Pelodiscus sinensis: one gene and its partners. The protein of the gene in region 3 purifies or fractionates together with the protein of the main gene of each other region. This does not show direct contact. Links are inferred from orthologs where the notes say so. Each region holds a gene or a part of one and is shown on either strand. Other genes may lie near its edges. The genes, in order: EIF3H, EIF4G3 and EIF4A2.

Region 1 (8,507 bases), on a different chromosome or scaffold from region 3:
AGGGGGCGCGGGAGTGCCGGCTCCTCGCAGAACCCCTAGTTTTGCTCCGCGGAACCCCAGGGCTCCCCGGAGCACCAATTGGGAAACACTGAGGTAGATGCATAAAGGATTGGAAAACAGTTCCCAGATAGTAGTTATCAGTGGTTCACACTGAATCTGGAAGGGCACATCAAGTGGTATCCTGCCTGGATCAGTTCAGGGTCAAGTTCCAGTCAATATCTTCATCCCTGATTTAGATAAAACTATAGAGAATACACTTATAAAGCTTGTGACTGTTACCAAGCTGGGAGGGGTTGCAAATGCTTTGACAAATAGGACAAAAATTCAAAATGATTTAGAAAAATTGGAGAAGTGGTCTGAAGTAATAGAATGAAATTCTGCAAACACAAATGTGAAGTATTCCATTTAAGCAGGACTAATCAGTTATATGCAGGGCTTGACAAACTATGTAACCTACTCGCGCACAGCGAGTAGATTACAACCCGGAAGAGCCGGGTTCGGGCGATCTGCGCATGCACAGAACGATCTGCGCATGCGCAGATCACCGGACAGTGCGGCTGGCGAGTGAGGCTCACTGCGGCTTGGAGAGCACTGGTTATATGTATACAAAAAAATAGGAAATGACTGGACTAGGAAAATACTGCAGAAAGGAATCGGGGATCAGAGTAGATTATAAGCTAAAAGAAGTCAATGCTGTTGCAAAAAAGCAATCATTATTTTGGGATGTTAACACGAGTGCTGTAAGAAAGACACAATAAGCAATGTAAAAATAAACAAATTGGAGGAAGTCCACAGAAGAGCAACAAAAACTTAACATGATCTTTGAGGAAAGAATGAAAAAAATTGGGTTTGTTCAGTCTGGAATAGAGAAGACTGAGATGGGACATAATAGTTTTCAAGTAAATAAAATAACTGTTACAAGAAGGAGAAAAAAATTGTTCTCGTTAACCTCTGGAGAAAGAACAAGAAACCATACGCTTAAATTACAGCAAAAGAGGTTTAGGTAAAATACTAGGAAAAAGATTCATAGCTCTCAGTGTAGTTCAGCATTGGAAAAATTACCTAGGGAGGTTTTGCAGTTTCTGTCATTGGAGGTTTCTAAAAGTACTTAAATACCTGTTGGAGCAGTGTTCCCTGTAATTTTTTCCATCCATGAGCAAAATAAATTGTATTATATGAACCGTGGCATGTGCAGATATGCACCACCAGTAGAAATACATATTGCAGACTTTGAGTGCTCTGCTAATCAGTTGTGCAGCATTTGAGCTTCTCTTGTGTGGGAGCCCAAGCACTTAGCTTACAGGGAACACTGGTCAGCAGTGACCTAGTTAAAACGCAGTCCTACCGTAAGTACAGCGGACTGGACTAGAACTGTGTTTCTCAACCAGTGATTGAGTACCCTTAAGGGTATTTGAGAGAAGTCTGGGGGATACATCAACACAACTGAAATTTGGAGAAAACAGAAATTTTGTTTTAAGTTTTACAGAGCTTTATTATTTTTGTACTTTTTATACCCAAAAATTTCATTGCCCGCCTGGATACGATTAAATTGTTTAAACAAATGTGTTACAATGGTAGAAAAAAAATGGTATGTCTGAAAACTGTAGGTACTAGGGGTACTTTTTTTTTTTTTTTTTTTTGAAAAAGTAAGTTGAGAAACACTGGACTAGAAGACTTCTGGAGATCCCTTCCAATACTACAATTCTGTGTTTACTTGCACCTTTCCTGTGCTGGAACATTAAAAGGTGGAAAAAAGAAACTGGGGGAAGACCCTGGTAGCAGGTAGTGTTGGACTCCATTACCAAAATACCACAGGTCCCAGAGGCGGCCTGGACATGTGCCTTTACCCTGAACATTGCTCTGCAGGTAGCTTTCAACCCCTCTCGACGCACCCCCAAACAGCAGTACTGATCTATACTTCCTAAGGCAGTTTAGGAAGGAATTTACGCCAGGTACTCCCTAAGAATGTAACAGTATAGTCGACTAAATGATTAACCGATAAACCAGTTTTTATAAGTTAATGTTATCAACTACATGCAACCCCCCTGCCCTGCAAGTAAATTTTAACCAGGCTGGCTGAGTGGCTAAGTCACAGCAGGGGCTGGTGACAGATCCAGGCACTCAGCCATACTGGGTCAAACCAAAGGTCCATATAGCTCAGCATACTGTCTTCCAACAGTGGCCAATGCCAGATGCCCCAGAGAAAGAGAACAGAACAGGGAATCATCAAGTGATCCCTGTCCTGTCATCCATTTCTAGCTTCTGACAAACAGAGGCTAGGGACACCATTCCTACCCATCCTGGCTAACAGCTACTGATGGTCCTAACCACCATGAATGTATCTAGTTCTTTTTTAACCCTTTTAAAATCCTAGTATTCACAACATCCTCTGGCAAGGAATTTCACAGGTTCACTGTACAATGCATGAGCAAAAATTCCTTTTGTTTTAAACCTGCTACCTATTCCTTTCATTTGGTGACCCCCTAGTTCTTATGTTATGGGAAAAAGTAAAGAACCCTTCCTTAGTCACTTTTTCCACACAACTCATGATCTTATAGACCTCTATCACATCCCCTCTTAGTCTCCTCTTTTCTAACATGAAAAGTCCCAGTCTTTTTTCTCTCTCTTCATATGGCACCCATTCCAACCCCCTAATCATTTTGTTGCTCTTTTCTGAACCTTTTCCAATGCCAACATATCTTTTTTGAGATTAGGCAGCCACATCTGCACACATTATTCAAGACATGAGTGTACCGTGGATTTATATAGAAGAAATAAGATGTTCTCTTATTCTCTAGCCCTTTGGGTTATTGGGGTTTTTTTTTGTTTTTGTTTTTTGTTTTTTTTACTACTGCTGCACATTGAATGGATGTTTTCAGAGACTGTCTCAGTTCTGGCTCGTGTGCAAGACCCAGGATCAACCCCCACACCAGCACAGTGCAGAACCGCAGCAGGGGTAGTTGCTGGGTCCCGGCATGAGCCAAGACTGAGCCAGCCTGACCGTGCGCCAGCTATTAATTCTGGAAGTGCTTGTAATGCAGAGCCACAGCGGGGGTAGGAGCCGGATTTGGTAGGAATCGGGACTGAGTGGTAGCAGCACCACCCCATAAAGATAAATTGTGTAGTCGACAAAAAAATGTGTCCACTACACGACTGACAAGTTACACGCTTTTTGACATCCTTAGTATATCCTGGAAACCACCAGCACCAGCCCGCAGGGGGAAGGTGGCCAGGAGCTGCCTTTGTCCTCTGGGAAGGGGTTTCGTCAGCCAGCCGCCCTTATCCCCGGACAAGCCATCACAGGCGGTCGCACAAGCGGAGCTGACCGCCTCTCCCCCAGCCGCGCGGGCTCCTCTGGGCGCCACTCCTGCCTGCCCCAGGCCGATACCAGTGGGGAGGGGAGGGCGGGCACCGACTCTCTCCGCAGAACGTGCCCAGAGCTACACGCCGCGCTGCCCCCGCGCGGCCCCGAACTCTGCTCGCCCCCCAAGCGGCCGCAGGGACCCTCCGCTCACTCACCAGCCCGTCGATCTGCACCTGCTTGACCGCCGAGTCCCCCGGGGCCGCCTTGCCCCTGGCTTTAGTGGCGACCGAGGAGACGGTGCTGGCGGGCCCCGTGGTTTCCTTGCGAGACGCCATGCTGAGAGACTCTTCCTCTCACCCGCTCGCCGGCCGGAAAGAGAAAAATGAAACACCGGAAGCGCGGCTAAGAACCCTGCGGTGGGCTCCTGAACGAGGTTCGGACGGAAACGAAGGGAAGGGTCAAAAAGGGCCGCAGTTAAGTGGATGGGAGACACTGCGCGTGCGTAGAAGAAAATGGGGGTGCGTGTTGGGGAAGGAGCTAGGGAAATATACCCACGCGCGTCACTGATCAGTCGTCACGGCTCTCCTGCCCCTCCCCCTACACGTATGTGCAGAGACAAGCCGTGGGGCGGCCTTGAAGGTGCCGGGTTAGTGTGAGCGCGGCCGAAGGGCGGGTTGTGGCACGTCCGCCCCGTGGGATGCGCTGGGGGAAGCCGCTGTGCTGGAGCAGCCCGAGCGCCTTCCGACTGCGGGAGCTGCGTCCACACTAGGACTGTGCGGGGGTGGGGAAGGTCACTCGCCAAGTGACATAGAGCTGTTCCTAGGAAGGCAGCCCGTGTCCCAGCACGCACACGTGTTGCATCGCTTTGCTCTAGGACAGGTGGTGATACGGTCTCGCATGATATTCTTATTGATAAACTAGGCAAATATAACTTAGATAGGGCCACGATAAGGTGGGTGCATAATTGGCTGGATAACCGTAGTCAGAGAGTTGTTGTTAAGGGTGCTAAATCCTGCTGGAAAGGGAGAACAAGTGGAGTTCCTCAAGGGTCTGTTTTGGGACCCGTACTGTTCAATATCTTCATCAATGATGTAGATATTGGGATAGAGAGTACGCTTATTAAGTTTGCAGATGATACCAAACTGGGTGGGGTTGCAACTTCTTTGGAGGATAGGGACATAATTCAAAATGACCTTAGCAAGTTAGAGAAATGGTCAGAGGTAAACAGGATGAAGTTTAATAAAGAGAAATGCAAAGTGCTCCACTTAGGAAGGAACAATCAGTTCCAAACATACAAGATGGGAAGCGACTGTCTAGGAAGGAGCATGGCGGAAAGGGATCTAGGGGTCATAGTGGACCACAAGTTGAATATGAGTCAACAGTGTGATGCTGCTGCAAAAAAAGCAAATATGATTCTAGGTTGTATCAACAGGTGTGTTGTAAGCAAAACTCGTGAAGTCATTCTGCCGCTCTACTCTGCACTAGTTAGGCCTCAGCTGGAGTACTGTGTCCAGTTCTGGGCGCCACATTTCAAGAAAGATGTGGAGAAATTGGAAAGGGTACAGAGAAGAGCGACAAGAATGATTAAAGGTCTAGAGAACATGACCTATGAAGCCAGGCTTCATGAACTGGGCTTGTTTAGTTTGGAAAAAAGAAGATTAAGGGGGGACATGATAGCGGTTTTCAAATATCTAAAAGGGTGTCACAAGGAGGAAGGAGAAAATTTGTTCCTCTTGGTTTCTGAGGACGGGACAAGGAGTAATGGGCTTAAAGTGCAGCAGGGGAGGTTTAGATTGGACATTAGGAAAAAATTCCTAACTGTCAGGGTGGTCAAATATTGGAATAAATTGCCAAGGGAGGTGGTGGAATCTCCCTCTCTGGAGATATCTAAGAACAGGTTAGATAGACATCTGTCAGGGATGGTGTAGACGGAGCTTGGTCCTGCCCTGAGGGCGGGGGGCTGGACTCGATGACCTTTCGAGGTCCCTTCCAGTCCTATGATTATATGATTCTATGATCAGACCAGGGCTGAATCATTGGTTAAGGGCTTGTGCTGGCAATCCACCGACCAACAGGATTCAAGGCAAATGAGGATGTGGTGCTGAAGACTTCCTAAGAGGATATGGGCTGAGGGTAAAGGAGAGGGGGACAAGCATAGGTAACTGAGAATAATATTAATAGAAATGTAGCCAGGTTAGTCTGGTGTTGGTGAAACAAAAAACAGGACTATGTAGCATTTTAAAGACTAACAAGATGGTTTACTAGGTGATGAGCTTTTGTGGGCCAGACCCACTTCCTCAGATCAAATAGTGGAAGAAAATTGGCAGGACTATATATACCAAAGGATACAATCAAAAAAATGAACACATATAAAAAGGACAAATCAAATTTCAGAACAGAAAGGGGATGAGGGGGGAGTTAAATGACTGTGAGCTAATGATATTAGAGGTGATAATTGGGGAAGCTATCTTTGTAATGGGTATGATAATTAGCGTCCTTGTTAAGACCTAGGTGTAAAGCGTCAAATTTAAGCATGAATGACAGTTCAGAGGATTCTCTTTCAAGTCTAATGTTAAAATGTTTTTGAAGCAGGATGGAGGTAGTTAAGTCCTTGAGACAATGCCCTTTCTGGTTGAAATGGCAATAAACTGTTTATTCTTTGTGATCCTGTCTAATATCTATTTTGTGGCCATTGATTCTTTGGCGAAGTGTCTGAGACGTTTGTCCAATGTACATAGCAGACAGACATTATTAGCACATGAGAGAATAAATTTGTATTTCTGGATGAGCAGGAATGTGTGTTTTTGATCTTATAACTCAATAAGTTAGGTACAATAATGGTATCAGCAGAATGAATATGTGGACAAAGCTGGCAACAGGGTTTGTTGCAAGGTAAGGTTCCAGGGCTGGTATTAGTGTGGTAGGTCCTGTGGTTGTTGGTAAGAATCATCTTGAGGTTAGGTGTGTCTATAGGAGACTATGGGGGTCTGTCTCCCAGAGCCTCTTGGAGTTTAGTATCCTGTTCTGGTATAGGTTGTAGTTTATTGATAATGTGTTGGACGGGTTTAAGTTGGGGGCTGTAGGTGATGACAAGTGGTGTTCTATTGTTGGTTTTCTTGGGTCTGTCTTGAAGTAGATGGTTTCTGGGTATTCGTCTGGCTCTTTCAATTTGTTTTTTTCTTTCTCTGGGTGAGTAGTTGAGGTTTATAAATGGTTGGTAGAGATCCTGAAGTTTCTGGTCTCTATCAGTGGGATTAGAGCAGATGCGGTTGTATTGAAAGGCTTGGCTGTAGATGATGGATCGTATGGTGTGTTCTGGATGGGAGCTGGAGACATGTAGGTAACTATATGTGTCGGTGGGTTTCTGTAGAGAGTGGTGTCTATTTTACCATTGGTGATTTGTACTGGGGTGTCCAGGAAATAGATTTGTCATGTAGAATGGTCCAGGCTGAGATTGATGGGAGCACAATGGCAGCCCCACCATCACCAAGGCACCCTCCTGACCATGGAAGCCATGTTGGTCACCTACCGTTAAGACTAGCATTACCAGGTCAGCTTTAGAGAAGATGGCCCGCTGGCCCCCAGTGACTTATCCAGCATCTTGGCCCCTGCTGCTTCCCCAATCCTCCCTGGCCCCTACTGCTTCTCCCAGCCCCTATCAACTCTCTCCCTAGGCATTCCACCCACCCCTGTTGCCTCCCTGGATTCCCCACCTCTCCCTCAGGCCCCACTTCCTCTCCTCCCCATTACCCCAACAGACTCCCAAGTTCTTGGCAGGCTAGTCTAGACACATACTCAAGCAGGTAACTGCACCTGCTTTGACATAAAAAGAACGTGATTTGGCTTCTCTAGGTCCCATCTGGCAGTGCTGTGCTGCCAGCCCAGTCTCACCACTCTGCTCTGTGTGACTCCGTGGGAGTGCTCACTGCTGGTGGCTTTTCCAGGCAAATCCTTTCAGCTGCACTCAGCCCAACTCCCACCAGGAAATCAAGGGACAAATGTGACTGTACATGCCCACATGTGTCACCTAAGGGGACAAGAGTTAGCACTGAAGATTTTCCAACAGGAAGAATTAGAGGAGAGGGAATGAAGGCTTTGGGGGCTATACAATTGTTGTGTAGACATTTGGGCTGAAGTCCAAGCCCTGGGACCCTCAGAGACAGGAGGTCCCAGAGCCCAAACTCCGGCCCAAGCATCTAAACAGAAATAGTCAGTCCCGCATTCTGATCCTTGCATGGCTCAACTAGTTGACCCTAGCCAGCTGCAGCCATGTAGACATACCCTAACAGGTCAGGTTTGTATGAAGCAGTGATAGCCTTGAGCCTACATAAAAAGAGTATTGTAGTGTGTTGTGAGATATGATATTGTAGGGTGTAATTGTAATACAAATGTAAGGGGAATCAGTGTTCTCCACAGAACAGGTTGAAAGATGTAATTTCCTGGATGTTAGTAGACTTTGGAAATGACTTTATGCTAGCCTTCCTTCTGTCTACTTAAAATTCTAGACTACCTTGCCTATGGCAATTTATATTCTATACTAATACCAATAATTGTGTCCAAGAGCTCCGCACAGGTTGCTACCTGATGTGCTGAGATACCACTGAGCCTGCCAGCAGTGGCAATCTGGACATCTTTTCCACCTATCTTGCTGAACCAGGATATTAATCCTCCTCCAGGATACAGACAGGCAGGGCCACACCCAACTCAGTGTCTGTCATTCTGCAGATCAGCTCTAGGAAGACTCATCTTAAGGAACTTGCCTCAGCATTCAGTACAGACCCAAAGATATATTATGAAATCCACCTCCTCCCTCAATGCGGAGGAAAATATGTACAGTCCCCCTCCCCCCCACCATTATGAATTCCACAATCTGGGTTATATTAAAAATAAGAAATAAGTTTAACTATGAAAGGTGAATTTTAAGTGGTTAGAGAGGTAGCAAACAGAACAAAGCAGATTATTAAGCAAAGCACTCAAACTAAGCTTAATTTACTTTTTAAAAATTGCTCACTGTAGAAATTGTTGCAGGCAGATTAACAAAAAATTCTTGAAAAGCAGCTTCACTGGCCTGCAGCTTGAAACTTCTGGTGTTATTACTAGGGATGTTAAAAAGTGGGTAATTAGGTACTTGTGTAACCGCTGAAAATCTCAGCAGTTACACAGTTCCATGTTTCAGGTTCTGTGGCATACAGCTTATACTGCA
Region 2 (7,891 bases), on a different chromosome or scaffold from region 3:
CCTTTCGGATCATGTCTCATTTTTTCATTCTTTTCTCCCATTACACACTGAGTGGATAGGCACCAGCTCTTCTCCTACACAGTCCTGTCTATTCTTACTGTTAAAGTGTACAATAACTATTCTAAAATTAACAAAGTATAAGAAATGTTGCTGAAGAGACAAGGACACAAAACTAACCCTGTAAGCCCAGTTTCAGCATTGTAAAATTGATTCAGCTCTTGAACACTACTATCAATGTACAGTACACTGACCACTTGCATCAACAAATGAATCCCTTTACTGTGTTGGGGAGCAAACAAGGACATATGCAGTTCACCCCAGGATGCCAGGAGGATGTTTGGTGCTGTAGCGGGTAATTTTCTCTTGATGTTACAAAAACATTTAGAAACAAACAGAACAAAAATAAAAAGGAATCTGAATGACCCTCTGCATTTCAATAAGTGTTTAAGAAACTAACATCCAAAAACCCAATACTGTTCACAAATACAATCACAGTACAATTTATAGTAGGTACCAGTCTTCATTTACATACACTTCCAGATTTCTGAGAAGAATATCTGGGATACTTAAGTATATTTAAAGAAAAATGAAAGAGCGAATGAAGCATTTGTATATATCAAAAAAGACAGTTGTAGCGTTAAAGGTTCAGGCATTTTATTAAGTAAAAATATATATAACACAATCAAGTCACTAAACATAAATAATAAAATCCAATCTTATCATTGTTCCTCCTCTAGATTTACACCTGCTAAGCTCATCTTATTTACCTCACACTTCTCTTTATTTCTCTTCTTCTTAGCACCTAACCACATTCATTTGAAGTGACAGGCTGTAGCACCACTACTGGCTCCTTTATGACACAATCAACCACTCTCACTGTGAACCCTTTTTGCTCCCTTCTAGGATTAATTCACTCTCCTCCCTCTAACACACAAAATGTCTTTGGTCAAATAGCATCACAGAATTTACCAAATGTGATGACATTTTCCAGTATTATTCTCGAAGTATACACCAGTCTTGCAATGTACACTAAACTAGCATTCAATAAAGTATTCAAGTCACTCAAAGATGCTTTTAACGATTACTTTAAAACAGACTTTTGAAAGCCTAGCACGCAGGCAAGCAGAAACCATTTAACTATCGAGACACAAAAGTACTGTACTGTATGACAAGTGGAAAGTTAAAAAAAGTTCAGACAAACAGCAGCTTGCTGTATAGACCAGCTGAGCACTGACTTAATATGTAAAAGCCAGACAGTCAACTAACTTTCCCACAAGTTCCCCGAGCAATAGTTTTACTTAGCAATGCCATGCTTACTTGGGGAAAAAACGTTTAAGTTATTCTCACTATTCAGTAAGAACTTTTAAAAATATCATATTACAAGCTAGCCAAAAATACAAGGAAAGAGGTAAGAGTTCACCCGAGTTACCACTCTTAAGACTTCACTTTGACCCAAACAGATCTGTATCATCAGCAACCTCCTGATTTAAAAAAATATTTGTGGTTAGCAGCAAGAATGACTCTGAGATCTCAAGAAAACAACAGGCCTAACAGATTATGAAAGGCCTTGATTTTGCCACTTCAAAATGAAAGTAAGAGCAGTAAACTCATTGTACACTGTATGAGAAATATGTTTTGTGTATACATTATACAACTCTTGGACAGTATGACCTCTTTATAAAAATAGTCAGCACTTCCTTATTTAAAAAAAATAAACATTAGTACTAACCCAAAGTGAAACTAACACTTCTAGCTGACAACCACCAATACAGACATCTTAGTGCATGAAACATTCTCAGGTTAACATATTGATTGATTGATCATTTCACCTCCACTGATTTTCTATCAGGATCTTTCTTCATACCCTCCCAAAAGTCACTGAAAATTCAACAACTTTTCAAGGATGCTGTCCAGCATTAGAAACATGCAACATGCATGTATGGACACACAACTTTCCTGATGATCTCTGCAGTATTTACCTCCAGACTTCAGGCCTGAAGAATTAAAACGTTCACACTGAAAGAAACACTGGCTTTTCTTTCAAGCACTAACGTTTTTGGAGGGGGGTCTTATTGAAAATTTCCTCCTCACACCAGACCTATTTACAGAAAAAGATGTCTACTGTGACATTTCCACATGGATTTACTTCCACTACAAATAAAAATCATAATTTAAAAAATCCACAATTCACAGTCCAGCTCCCTAGCTAATTTCACTTTTCTCCTGAGTAAAAAAACAAACAAACCCCACAACTTACCTCAACATGGCCAGATATACTTCACCACACACAACTGACATTTATTATTTGCACTACTACTACTTTGGGGGCACAGGTTGTAGTCATCCCCTACTCCCTTCCCCAAGAGATGTAAAGATGGGTATAGCTCACCCTGCAGTCTGTATTTCAAGTAGAGTGGAATATGCCTCCTTCTCATAATAGGACTATCAATAGATGTAATTCCTCAGTTGCCTATGCTGAAATAATATAGCGCCCCCCACCACCACAGTGGGGGATAAAAGCCCCCAACCCTCCCACAAGAATATGGGGGTGTAACCCCATCTGCACAAACAACGGTGAATCTCCACGAGAAAGGGGGTCGGCCCTCGCTCCTGCCACACTTTAGGGTGCTCCCCACTCCTGAAGGAAGCCCCGCTCACTTACATAGATTCCGGGCTGCAGTTCCCATCCCCCGCACCCTGCCCTACTGGGGGGCTAGGCCCCTGCACACCCCATCCCTGTGCGGGCCAACTCCCCCCCCCGAGGGGCTCAGCCGGGGGGCCAGGCGGAAAGGATACTGTTGGGGCGGCTGGCTCTGTAAGCCCCTGATGTTGGGGTGAGGCGGGGGCGCCCCCGCAGCTGCCGCCGGGTGAGGGGCAGCCCCTGGGGGAGGCGGCCCCGCTGCCGCCGCTGCCCCGCTCCCGGGGCCGGTCCCCGCCGCCGCGGCAGCCGCTGAGCCGGGCTTCAGAGCCGCCTTCTGCGGGACACTCATCGCAACGCGCAGCCACCAGCCCCGCGCGGGGAGCGGGGCCCGGGGCGGGGGGGAGCGGGCCGGGGGACGGCGCGGGGGCAGGGGCAGCCCGGCGGGCCAGCACCACCGGCCGGTCTCCGTGACAACGCGCCTCCGGGAGGGCTGGGGGGAGAGGGGCCGCTCAGGCCGCGCTGCTCATGGGCCGCCGGCGGCCGGGAGTCTCGGGCCCCCTCCCCGGGGCAGGCGGCGCCCTTCGCGGTGGCGGCTCTCGGGCGATGCCGGCGGATTTTCCTCACTCAAGTAGCGGAGCATCAAACATGGCGCTGCGGCCGCCTCCAGCAGTCCGGCAGGACGGACGCTCGGGCGCCTTCGGCCCCCTCCGGAGCCGCTCGGCCTCAGGGCTCTCGGAGCACTTCGGCTCCTTTCGGAACCGCTCGGCCACAGGGCTCTCGGAGCACTTCGGCTCCTCCCGGAACCGCTCGGCCTCAGGGCTCTCGGAGCACTTCGGCTCCTTTCGGAACCGCTCGGCCTCACGGCTCTCGGAGCACTTCGGCTCCTTCCGGAGCCGCTCGGCCTCAGGGCTCTCGGAGCACTTCGGCTCCTTCCGGAACCGCTCGGCCTCAGGGCTCTCGGAGCACTTCGGCTCCTTCCGGAGCCGCTCGGCCTCAGGGCTCTCGGAGCACTTCGGCTCCTTTCGGAACCGCTCGGCCACAGGGCTCTCGGAGCACTTCGGCTCCTCCCGGAACCGCTCGGCCTCAGGGCTCTCGGAGCACTTCGGCTCCTCCCGGAACCGCTCGGCCTCAGGGCTCTCGGAGCACTTCGGCTCCTCCCGGAACCGCTCGGCCTCAGGGCTCTCGGAGCACTTCGGCTCCTTTCGGAACCGCTCGGCCTCAGGGCTCTCGGAGCACTTCGGCTCCTTCCGGAGCCGCTCGGCCTCAGGGCTCTCGGAGCACTTCGGCTCCTTCCGGAACCGCTCGGCCACAGGGCTCTCGGAGCACTTCGGCTCCTTCCGGAGCCGCTCGGCCTCAGGGCTCTCGGAACACTTCGGCTCCTCTCGGAACCGCTCGGCCTCAGGGCTCTCGGAGCACTTCGGCTCCTTCCGGAACCGCTCGGCCACAGAGCTCTCGGAGCACTTCGGCTCCTTCCGGAACCGCTCGGCCCCAGGGCTCTCGGAGCACTTCGGCTCCTTCCGGAACCGCTCGGCCCCAGGGCTCTCGGAGCACTTCGGCTCCTTCCGGAACCGCTCGGCCTCAGGGCTCTCGGAGCACTTCGGCTCCTTTCGGAACCGCTCGGCCTCAGGGCTCTCGGAGCACTTCGGCTCCTTTCGGAACCGCTCGGCCCCAGGGCTCTCGGAGCACTTCGGCTCCTTTCGGAACCGCTCGGCCCCAGGGCTCTCGGAGCACTTCGGCTCCTTCCGGAACCGCTCGGCCCCAGGGCTCTCGGAGCACTTCGACTGCTTCCGGAACCGCTCGGCCACAGGGCTCTCGGAGCACTACGGCCCCCTCCGGAAGCGCTCGGCCTCAGGGCTCTCGGAGCACTTCGGCTCCTTTCGGAACCGCTCGGCCCCAGGGCTCTCGGAGCACTTCGGCCCCCTCCGGAGCCGCTCGGCCTCAGGGCTCTCGGAGCACTTCGGCTCCTTTCGGAACCGCTCGGCCCCAGGGCTCTCGGAGCACTTCGGCTCCTTTCGGAACCGCTCGGCCTCAGGGCTCTCGGAGCACTTCGGCTCCTTTCGGAACCGCTCGGCCCCAGGGCTCTCGGAGCACTTCGGCCCCCTCCGGAACCGCTCGGCCTCAGGGCTCTCGGAGCACTTCGGCTCCTTCCGGAGGCGCGTTCAGGCCTGGTCGGGCAACTTCGGAAATTGCCGAACGCGGGCTTCGGGCGCAGGGGCCCCTCGGGAGCTCGCCGCTTCGGAAGCGCTCGGCCCCGGCCGAGAGGGGCTCGGGTCGCTTCGGCAACACTCGGCTGTTCGGAGACATTGGACAAGCCCCCGCCGCGGCTTCCTCCCGGAGGGCAGGGGCTCCAGGCTGGAGCGGAGGGTTTGGAGTGTGCGCAGGGGCTCCAGGTTGGAGCGGAGGGTTCGGAGTGTGGGCAGGGGCTCCAGGCTGGAGCGGAGGGTTCGGAGTGTGGGCAGGGGCTCCAGGCTGGAGCGGAGGGTTTGGAGTGTGGGCAGGGGCTCCAGGCTGGGATGGAGGGTTCGGAGTGTGGGCAGCGGCTCCAGGCTGGAGCGGAGGGTTTGGAGTGTGGGCAGGGGCTCCAGGCTGGAGCGGAGGGTTCGGAGTGTGGGCAGGGGCTCCAGGCTGGGATGGAGGGTTTGGAGTGTGGGCAGGGGCTCCAGGCTGGGATGGAGGGTTCGGAATGTGGGCAGGGGCTCCAGGCTGGAGCGGAGGGTTCGGAGTGTGGGCAGGGGCTCCAGGCTGGAGCGGAGGGTTCGGAGTGTGGGCAGGGGCTCCAGGCTGGAGCGGAGGGTTCGGAGTGTGGGCAGGGGCTCCAGGCTGGGGCGGAGGGTTTGGAGTGTGGGCAGGGGCTCCAGGCTGGGGCGGAGGGTTTGGAGTGTGGGCAGGGGCTCCACGCTGGAGCGGAGGGTTCGGAGTGTGGGCAGGGGCTCCAGGCTGGGGCGGAGGGTTTGGAGTGTGGGCAGGGGCTCCAGGCTGGAGCGGAGGGTTCGGAGTGTGGGCAGGGGCTCCAGGCTGGAGCGGAGGGTTCGGAGTGTGGGCAGGGGCTCCAGGCTGGAGCGGAGGGTTTGGAGTGTGGGCAGGGGCTCCAGGCTGGGGCGGAGGGTTTGGAGTGCGGGCAGGGGCTCCAGGCTGGAGCGGAGGGTTTGGAGTGTGGGCAGGGGCTCCAGGCTGGGGCGGAGGGTTTGGAGTGTGGGCAGGGGCTCCAGGCTGGGGCGGAGGGTTCGGAGTGTGGGCAGGGGCTCCAGGCTGGAGCGGAGGGTTCGGAGTGTGGGCAGGGGCTCCAGGCTGGAGCGGAGGGTTCGGAGTGTGGGCAGGGGCTCCAGGCTGGGATGGAGGGTTTGGAGTGTGGGCAGGGGCTCCAGGCTGGGATGGAGGGTTCGGAGTGTGGGCAGGGGCTCCAGGCTGGAGCGGAGGGTTCGGAGTGTGGGCAGGGGCTCCAGGCTGGAGCGGAGGGTTCGGAGTGTGGGCAGGGGCTCCAGGCTGGAGCGGAGGGTTCGGAGTGTGGGCAGGGGCTCCAGGCTGGGGCGGAGGGTTTGGAGTGTGGGCAGGGGCTCCAGGCTGGGGCGGAGGGTTTGGAGTGTGGGCAGGGGCTCCACGCTGGAGCGGAGGGTTCGGAGTGTGGGCAGGGGCTCCAGGCTGGGGCGGAGGGTTTGGAGTGTGGGCAGGGGCTCCAGGCTGGGGGCGGAGGGTTTGGAGTGTGGGCAGGGGCTCCAGGTTGGAGCGGAGGGTTCGGAGTGTGGGCAGGGGCTCCAGGCTGGAGCGGAGGGTTTGGAGTGTGGGCAGGGGCTCCAGGCTGGGGGCGGAGGGTTTGGAGTGTGGGCAGGGGCTCCAGGCTGGGGCGGAGGGTTTGGAGTGTGGGCAGGGGCTCCAGGCTGGAGCGGAGGGTTCGGAGTGTGGGCAGGGGCTCCAGGCTGGGGCGGAGGGTTTGGAGTGTGGGCAGGGGCTCCAGGCTGGGGCGGAGGGTTCGGAGTGTGGGCAGGGGCTCCAGGCTGGTGCGGAGGGTTCGGAGTGTGGGCAGGGGCTCCAGGCTGGGGCGGAGGGTTCGGAGTGTGGGCAGCGGCTCCAGGCTGGAGCGGAGGGTTTGGAGTGTGGGCAGGGGCTCCAGGCTGGGGCGGAGGGTTCGGAGTGTGGGCAGGGGCTCCAGGCTGGAGCGGAGGGTTTGGAGTGTGGGCAGGGGCTCCAGGCTGGAGCGGAGGGTTTGGAGTGTGGGCAGGGGCTCTAGGCTGGAGCGGAGGGTTCGGAGTGTGGGCAGGGGCTCCAGGCTGGAGCGGAGGGTTCGGAGTGTGGGCAGGGGCTCCAGGCTGGAGCGGAGGGTTCGGAGTGTGGGCAGGGGCTCCAGGCTGGGGCGGAGGGTTCGGAGTGTGGGCAGCGGCTCCAGGCTGGGATGGAGGGTTTGGAGTGTGGGCAGGGGCTCCAGGCTGGAGCGGAGGGTTTGGAGTGTGGGCAGGGGCTCCAGGCTGGAGCGGAGGGTTCGGAGTGTGGGCAGGGGCTCCAGGCTGGGAGCGGAGGGTTTGGAGTGTGGGCAGCGGCTCCAGGCTGGGATGGAGGGTTTGGAGTGTGGGCAGGGGCTCCAGGCTGGAGCGGAGGGTTCGGAGTGTGGGCAGGGGCTCCAGGCTGGGAGCGGAGGGTTCGGAGTGTGGGCAGGGGCTCCAGGCTGGAGCGGAGGGTTCGGAGTGTGGGCAGGGGCTCCAGGCTGGGGCGGAGGGTTCGGAGTGTGGGCAGGGGCTCCAGGCTGGAGCGGAGGGTTCGGAGTGTGGGCAGGGGCTCCAGGCTGGAGCGGAGGGTTTGGAGTGTGGGCAGGGGCTCCAGGCTGGAGCGGAGGGTTTGGAGTGTGGGCAGGGGCTCCAGGCTGGGGCGGAGGGTTCGGAGTGTGGGCAGGGGCTCCAGGCTGGGGCGGAGGGTTTGGAGTGTGGGCAGGGGCTCCAGGCTGGAGCGGAGGGTTTGGAGTGTGGGCAGGGGCTCCAGGCTGGAGCGGAGGGTTTGGAGTGTGGGCAGGGGCTCCAGGCTGGGGGCGGAGGGTTTGGAGTGTGGGCAGGGGCTCCAGGCTGGAGCGGAGGGTTCGGAGTGTGGGCAGGGGCTCCAGGCTGGAGCGGAGGGTTCGGAGTGTGGGCAGGGGCTCCAGGCTGGAGCGGAGGGTTCGGAGTGTGGGCAGGGGCTCCAGGCTGGAGCGGAGGGTTCGGAGTGTGGGCAGGGGCTCCAGGCTGGAGCGGAGGGTTCGGAGTGTGGGCAGGGGCTCCAGGCTGGAGC
Region 3 (7,831 bases):
TCCAATGTGTTAACTTTCTCTAGGTTCCAAAACGGATTCCTATAATTCACTATTCAGTTCTGAACAAGTATCATGCACTTGCCTGGTATGGTAACTGAGTCAGAGTTAGTACTAAACTCCCCAAAATGTATTTAAAATATTAATTCAAGAGTACCACCAAAGGCATAATCAACATGTTAGTTTCTTGGGATGAATTTATACTAGTTATTTTCTTACCAACACAGTTCTATTATCAACTGCACCCTAGAACTTTTCCTTCAGATACGATAAGGAATTTTCTTTCATACAAGCCAAACTGCAAAGTTTCAACAGAGTTGAGAAAGCCATCTCTGGTGACATGCACTAGCAGAACAGCTTGCCAGCCAAGCCGAGACTTGTTTTTGGTCAGACAATCTACTCAGCTATGTGGTAAACTCATTGCTTTGTTAGGCAAACAAGACCCTCAGTGTTAAGGCCAAATGATGCAGGTAGCATCACCTGCAAAATACCCAGTTCTAGTTAGTCTCATTTTGTGAAGGCAGTGGCAGAGTAAAAATATTAGTGAACAATCTAATGAGAGATATCCACTAAACTGACTAATCTAGCACCATAATTTTTCCTCAATATCTTTTAGACTTTGATCAATTTGGGGTTTAGAATCATCTTTGGACAACTATCCAAGCATAGCAAAACTCTGATCTTTGATCTGAGGAAGCCAAAGATATCCTCACTTGAGTGCTAAGCAAATTTTTTGTGCTGTATAAAATGGTCTGCAATTTGGTTTTAAGATTGCTATTTATACTTTCACTTGTATCACTAAACCATGAATCAATGGATTCTTAGAACCATTTAACATTGAATCCTGTAATTTTAATCTGGAGAACCACGAAACAGCTCCACTTTAAGATGAATAAATTACTTGAATCTTTTGAGGGTGAAGTAAACATGCGAGGAAGCATGGGACAGACACCACAAGACAATGATCATATGTGCACTGCAGTTTTCATGTTGCACAACTGCACACTCAAATGCATTGTTTCCACTCAGAACATATTGCTTATTTAAATATTTTTACCCCGCCTTTCCATTTAAAATATTCAAGGCGGCTTACAAAAACAATAAAAAAATACAAATATTAAAAAATTTACCACTTTATCATATCATTTTTAAGATTTCACCATTTGCTGGGAGATGCCCATTCAGAACTACACAGCATATCAGCTGTTACCTGCACCATGTCCCAGCATCATCTCCCGAAGTCACATCTTAACTCCCTCTTTACGTGGATAGGGAAAACCTAAAACAGAAGCTAGTCTGTTTCCCCATTACACTCAAAGCAACAAGGATTCTGAATGGATATTACAGTTACAGATTCCTTTAAAAAGATCTGTTAACTGTCCTTCACAGTTGTGAAACCCGAAACCTATGCAACGCGCAAGCAGCTTTTTTTAACTACACTATCAATACCTGTTGAGCCAGTTCTCTGGTAGGGGCCAATACTAGTGCTTGGGTCTCCTTGAGATCAATCTCCAATTGCTGCAGGATGGAAATAGCAAATGTGGCTGTCTTGCCAGTACCTGACTGAGCTTGAGCAATCACATCATACCCTAAAAAAAGTAGGATATATATTTACTCCTCCCACAAGTAATTCATATTTAGTTTAATTCTATTCCTTTTGAAGTAAGTGATCAGCAATTAAGACCTCTCCATTCATCTCCCTTTTTCAAGCAAGAATTAAAAGTAGTATGCCATCACCACACTTAAATACAAGTGCATAAAGTACATACATTTAAAAAAGACCTATTTTCTAACATGTATATCTGCTATTGATGACCAGACATAAAATTTTTTTGTGCTTGCCTACCTTTAATACATGGAATAATAGCTCTCTGCTGAATAGCTGAAGGCTTTTCAAAACCATAAGCATAAATACCCCTGAGAAGGGATTCTTTTAAATTCATATCATCAAAATTGTCAACAATTTCATTCCAATTGCTCTGTAAGAAGGAAAAGAGGCAGATTATTACTCTATTACCTATGCCCATACTGAATTTGGGTCTAAAGGCTATTATGCTGCTGCTCACCTCAATGACACCATCAGGGTCCATTCCCTCTGGGCCGCCATGGTCTCTGTTGCCAAAAAAGCAGGCTGTTAACACTCTTTGCAGCTAACAAATGCCATGTAGGACAGGATCTCTATATCTTGGATACCACTAATCATCTAATAAACCATCTTGTTAGTCTTTAAAGTGCTACATTGTCCTGCATTTTGCTCGGATACCACTAGCATTTCTCACTCCATTAGAACTTAAACCAGTGATTGATTGATTATGCTAGCAAATGCTTTAGCATTTTGCCAGCCTGGAAACTACATCTCCTTTGCACCTCATTCATATGTATGCCATTACCCCAAGTCTCCACTGTCGCCCGCAGCCAGGGGCTGCCCTGTGCAGGTTTTTTCCTACTGGTATTACTAAAGCGAGATTCATGCTGATTGCACACATTGACTGAGACCGCCATACACTCCCTCTGCATTCATCTGAGGCACTGCTATGGTTTGAGGGATACACCCTGCAAATTACAGACACATACGAAATTAGCAAAACTATCCTATCCCAGGAAACTGTCTTGGTTCCAATAATCTTGCAGCCCCCACGGAGATGGAGGGCCAATCATAGGCTTAGGCTGCCCATCGCTGGTGTAAGATCACCTATATATTTCTAGGCGCGGCACACCCCAAAGGGCAGTACGGCACGCAGAGCTAGCAGGCCCCAACGTGCAGCACCTCCCTCGCCGCGGAAGCGGCACGTGGCAGAGGGTGCGCCCCCCCCCCCCCCCAGCACTCTCACCCTAATGGCGGGATCTGCTCTGAGCGCTGCAGCACCCGCCTGGCGAGGGTGGAGGCAAGAGCGGCCCGCGCCTGGGCCAGCTCGTCTGTAGAACCCAGAGCAAAGAGTTTCCCGCGGCACCCCGCCTTGCTCAGCCACCACCGGCCAACTCTCGCGAGAGCTCCACCCACCCCCGGGGATTGCGCAAATCCGACTCACTACGCAGGCGGAGGAACGCGCCCGGAGGGCCGCGCCCCTCCCCCTCTGCGTGAAAATGAACTCGCCCGAAGCCGGGTTCAGGAAGCGCCGGAATGAACCAAAAGGGGCGGGAGAAGGGGTTGCAAGCCGAAACGCCATGGCCGGCTTCCTTCGAAGTCGAATGAGGTCGGGCCACAGGAGTGGGGGTTGTGGAGAGGCGGGTCCCCGCAACGGACAAGCTGCGGGAAGAACTGGCCGATCAGACGAGCGCGAGAGGGACCCACCGGGGCTGGCACTTCCCACCAACGGCAGCGAGCCGACATCGCACACGCTTCCTCCTCCCCCGCCTTCCTTTTAAAATCACCTCAGAACGAAAACAAGACACGAACTCGCCCCCCAAACCCAGGAATACCTGCTATAATCCGTAGTACCACCTGACATGTTCCGGTCTCCAGCCCCCACGTCTGTTCTGCCCTCAACTGAAAAGGCAGCGCCTTCCCGGCGCCGGCTTTATATAGCCATCCAGCTGCCGGAACTCGTTCCGCCCTTCACAGCGGAGGCATATGTCTATCGTCACACAGCCCGAGCCATATACATGCCCCGTTTAGAGTTTACCTGTGTCACGGATAGCCCCACGACCACGGAGTATGATATTTCTCGTGGGGTTCGTGAGGCTGCAACGGCCAAAAGATCGGGCGGAGATGGGGACTCTTTTGTGTGACGCGAAGGCGGAAGGATATTGCAGCAGTTGGCGCTGTGACAGTGTCTCACTCCTTCCTCATCCTGCTCGTGCCCCCACCGCTTGAGCACGGGGTTTCTTTGGCCGCCCGTGCTGCAGACAGCCTCAGAGCGGGAGGGGGAGGAGAGCGAGAGTGGGGGAGGGGGGAAAGAGGAGCGGGGTAGCTGAGTCCTAGAGAAAGGGGCAAAGAAAGAGGAAGGGAGCTGGGGGTGGAGGGTATGTGGGTCCCAGGAGGAGAGGGGGAAAGTGGCACTTGCTGAGAAGGATTAATGGGTCAAAGCCTGAGCATCAGCAGTGGGGAAAGCCCACATGACAGGATTTTATCACCAGTCTTATAATGCTGGTGCCAAGCCCGAGCTCCAGGAGTCATGGGATTATGGGAGACTCTAGGCATTCATTTATCTCCCTCCTCCCACCCACCAAAGTCTACCCCTTGTGGGGAAAGGCTGGAAAACCATCCTCTGAAAGTCTTCAAAATGAGACCAGCAGCCAAAGAACCCCAAAAAGAATTGAAAGAAAAAAAAATCTTTTGATATTTTTAAATCAATCTTGTGGTGTCTTTGGGGTGGGTTGATTGATAGTTTTGAATGCATGGCTTTGGCAATACTGGAGCAAGACAAGGGGAAGGAGAAGCTGTAGAACCCCGTGTGGAAGCATCTCAGAGAACAAATTGCAGGGGAAATGGGGTAGTGAGTTTCAGCTGGCCTGACCAGTTCAGTATATCCCAATTAATGTAATATATGTTATAATCTGCATCTGTTGTGTAAGGTAATATTAGAAAACCCCCTGACAGACTGATTCCTGCATCGCTTATGTGTGTGAGACCTAAATGACTACACAAATATGAAAGAAATATGGGACTAAAATGTGTTTGGACCAGAAAAGTCTGGGAAAGTTGGCAAACATGTTTTTTCCAAGCAAAGGAAAAGCTGATGGCTCCATCCAAGTTCAGTTGCAGACATTTGGCAGACATTGACATAACAGAGGTTGGAGGAACCCATCAATTTGTATTATAGAAAGCACCAGTGGGAAAGAATCCAGCATGGAACCTCTCCATTAGATTAATTGCACTTTTCTTTGAGAAAGATACATTTCTAAAGTTCACTGGACTGTAAAAGAGAGGGGCAAAGAATCCCAAGTTATCTTTCGCATAGGAAGAAAAGCAAAGTCCTGTAGTTCCGTAAAAGGCCCTGACAAAGAGAAAATCAACTATGTCTGGAAAGAAGAAACATGGGTAAGAAATCTACCTTGAACAAAGATTGTAGTTTAAGTTTTCATCTCTAGAAAGCTTATTTTGCTTTTATTTTCTTGTAATCGTTTCTTTATCTCTTGTAATTGAACTCACATAAGACCTATCACTTTTTTATTACATTTTGTTACATAATCTAACTCAGCCCAGAATTAGGGTTGCCAACATTCCTGACCAGACAGATTAGATGCCATTCATGGCAATGGCATCTGGTCTGTCCTACTGGAAAAGCTGACAACCTTAATTTGAACTGAAGTGGTTATTAGTTCTAGGTAAAATAATGAGTTGTGCTTTTGTTTCTTTAAAGGAAAACAAATCTTATTGCTTCTGAGTATTCCAGGAGAGGGCTGGATACTTTTGGGACAGTTTGGGGAAATTTCAGAACTTGGTGTGTGTTGGGGTTAACCTGAAAGTAGTAAACAACGCAGATTGAGACCAGTGTAGGGTTGTGGTAGTGTAGGCTGGCTGCTGGAGTTCTAGCACACAGATACTCAGGAAACTGCATGCTTACCTGCTGACTGTGGGTGTTCAGGCTGTGAGTCACAGCACTTGGGGTTACAGGACAAGTGGTGGCAACCTCTTACTGGTCTGGGTTGAACGGCAAAAGGTCACACTGGCACAATTAGATTTCTAGTTAGAGCTAATGGACTCTTAGATAAAGCTAAAAGATAGTGAACACGCCATTTCTTTCTGTTTAGTTAGATAAATCCAAATATACAGAGTGTACCTTTATGTTGTAAGGAAACCACAAAACTGTATATTTTAATGTTACTAGCAGGCTGTGCCCCATGCTCACTACGCTTGCCAACCCCTCCTCTTTCTGACTGCTTTCATGGCCTGAGAGTGAAATAATGTCATTCTGTCACCTGGCATGAAAAACATTTTATATAGAAAGAGATAATGAGGACTAAAAATCCATAGGTAAATGGGAAGATTTCTGTGGAAGGCAGGAGGTGCAAGGAACTAAGTCATCATTTTATGCATAATTTAATTTGTAATTAAAAAAAAATGATTCCAGGCAATAATCAGAACCTTTGTGTCTGCCTTTACCTCGTGTGCCTTAAACTTTCCTGATAACTAAACTTCTTTGAAAGCTCATGCACTGGCTATATTTTGAAAAATAGGTGTAAATAAGCAAAGTTATTAATTTTGAATATGGATAGTTATGTTCTAGTTTTGCTCCTATGAGAGCACTTGACCCAATCCACTTCCAACTGATGTCAGAGTGTTTTTTTTCCTATTGATTTCAGGGAGAGCAGGATTTGGCAGCATGGCTCCAACATGCGCAGACCCATACACTAGCTATTTGCATGACTATTTTGATTTATTATATGATTTGGTGATTTATTTCTCATTTGAACGGAGCACCATTGGACTCAACTACCTTTTGGTACATTCATAGGTGTAATATACCCAGGGAAGTTGGCTACAGTAGTTTGGTGGAGGGTAGCTGGGTGAATGGTTTTCTGTTGTCTAAATAAACTGCCAGAGACTGCAGGCAGGCACTTGAGTCTATTTAAGAGATTGCCTGAAGTAGCAAACTAAGTGGGCACCTGCAGCAAATTAAGGCCTGCTGGGCTATTTTAAAAGGATTCTTCCGCAGGTAAGGGAGGGGGAAGGAGAAGAGTGGAGGACTGAGAGGAGGAAGGGGGTGGCTAGAGAGTACAAAACAGTGAGAATATTTGGGTTGAAGCAGGAAAGATTTGCTCAGGTATCAGTGGAGCGTTTGGGGAAATAGCCCAGGGAAAAGGCTGCTATATTGGTGGTAGGGGGAAAAACCCTGAGGCTATGTCTACACTCGTGGCTTCTTATGTGAGAAATATGCAAATGAGGCTAAGTGTAGAATATTGTGGAGCCTCATTTGCATATTTAATGAGCCACCATTTTTAGAGGCTATTGCGCCAGAAGGAGCTGTCTACACTGCCCCTTCTTGCACAAGAAAAATCCTCTTGCACAATGCCATTACGCCGATTATTTTCAGGAATAACTGCATTGCGCAAGAGGGTTTTTCTTGCACAAGAAGGAGCAGTGTAGACAATTCCTTCTGGAGCAAAAGCCTCTTATGCAAAAATGGTGGCTCATTAGGTATGCAAATGAGGCTCGGTGATATTCCACGCTTAGCTTAATTTGCATATTTCTTGCAAGAAGCCGCGAGTGTAGACATAGCCTGACAATGGCTGCTATGTAGGATCCCTGGGCTGGAGCCTGGAGTAGTGGGCAGGCAGGCCCGGGTTCCCCCAAACCTCCGCAAACTACTAAAAAAAGTCTGTTCCTGGGTAAAGGAGGCCAGGATTAGAAGAGGGATTCCTCCCATTTCTTTGACTGCCAATGATGAGAATGGTTCAGTAAGCTGTGACTCTGGCCTCAAGCAAAGATAAAAGGCAGTGTGGAGGACCACAGCGAGCCTCTGAGGCATACAATAACTGCCTAGACATGCAGGATCCATGGGGATCCATGGGGGCCAGAGCATTGCCACATAGGTTATAAGGTCCCTGTAGACTGCAAGCAGCCACAAGCATAAGATATTTGCTATGGTTGTTCTTGGCATGTATACATAGGCAACAGGTGCCTGGAAGGGAGGGGCTGCAGGGAGGGCCATGCAGAGGAACAGGGAGGGGGCATGAAGGGTCACCCAAGTTAGCCATTAGAATTTTGATGGGGGCATAGGAGATCAGTGCACCTCTAAGTGCTGTCATGAGTCACCTATGCATACATTACCTACAGATGATGTAGTCCTTAATTTTTCAGATGCCTACCTGTTTGCAGTAAAATCCTAAAATGAATGAGTCGGTGAGAACTTCCAGAGAATGAAAACAGTCTTTCTCACTACATCAGCTT

The links.
Region 1: the proteins of EIF4A2 (region 3) and EIF3H purify together in Homo sapiens (affinity purification with mass spectrometry; 3 studies listed by BioGRID and IntAct, with this or other methods). This does not show direct contact. The link is inferred for Pelodiscus sinensis from reciprocal best matches to the Homo sapiens genes EIF4A2 and EIF3H.
Region 2: the proteins of EIF4A2 (region 3) and EIF4G3 purify together in Homo sapiens (affinity purification with mass spectrometry; 3 studies listed by BioGRID and IntAct, with this or other methods). This does not show direct contact. The link is inferred for Pelodiscus sinensis from reciprocal best matches to the Homo sapiens genes EIF4A2 and EIF4G3.

The regions. Positions count from the first base shown.
Region 1 is NC_134712.1:23,925,166-23,933,672, reverse strand, and holds the start of EIF3H (eukaryotic translation initiation factor 3 subunit H), read right to left. Parts: upstream 3,692-8,507; 5' UTR 3,640-3,691; coding exon 3,520-3,639; intron 1-3,519.
Region 2 is NC_134733.1:3,597,017-3,604,907, forward strand, and holds the start of EIF4G3 (eukaryotic translation initiation factor 4 gamma 3), read right to left. Parts: upstream 3,372-7,891; 5' UTR 2,991-3,371; coding exon 2,797-2,990; intron 1-2,796. UniProt on the Homo sapiens protein: Component of the protein complex eIF4F, which is involved in the recognition of the mRNA cap, ATP-dependent unwinding of 5'-terminal secondary structure and recruitment of mRNA to the ribosome. Functional homolog of EIF4G1.
Region 3 is NC_134720.1:47,414,430-47,422,260, forward strand, and holds the start of EIF4A2 (eukaryotic initiation factor 4A-II), read right to left. Parts: upstream 3,560-7,831; 5' UTR 3,447-3,559; coding exon 3,418-3,446; intron 2,110-3,417; coding exon 2,064-2,109; intron 1,977-2,063; coding exon 1,844-1,976; intron 1,587-1,843; coding exon 1,447-1,586; intron 1-1,446. UniProt on the Homo sapiens protein: ATP-dependent RNA helicase which is a subunit of the eIF4F complex involved in cap recognition and is required for mRNA binding to ribosome.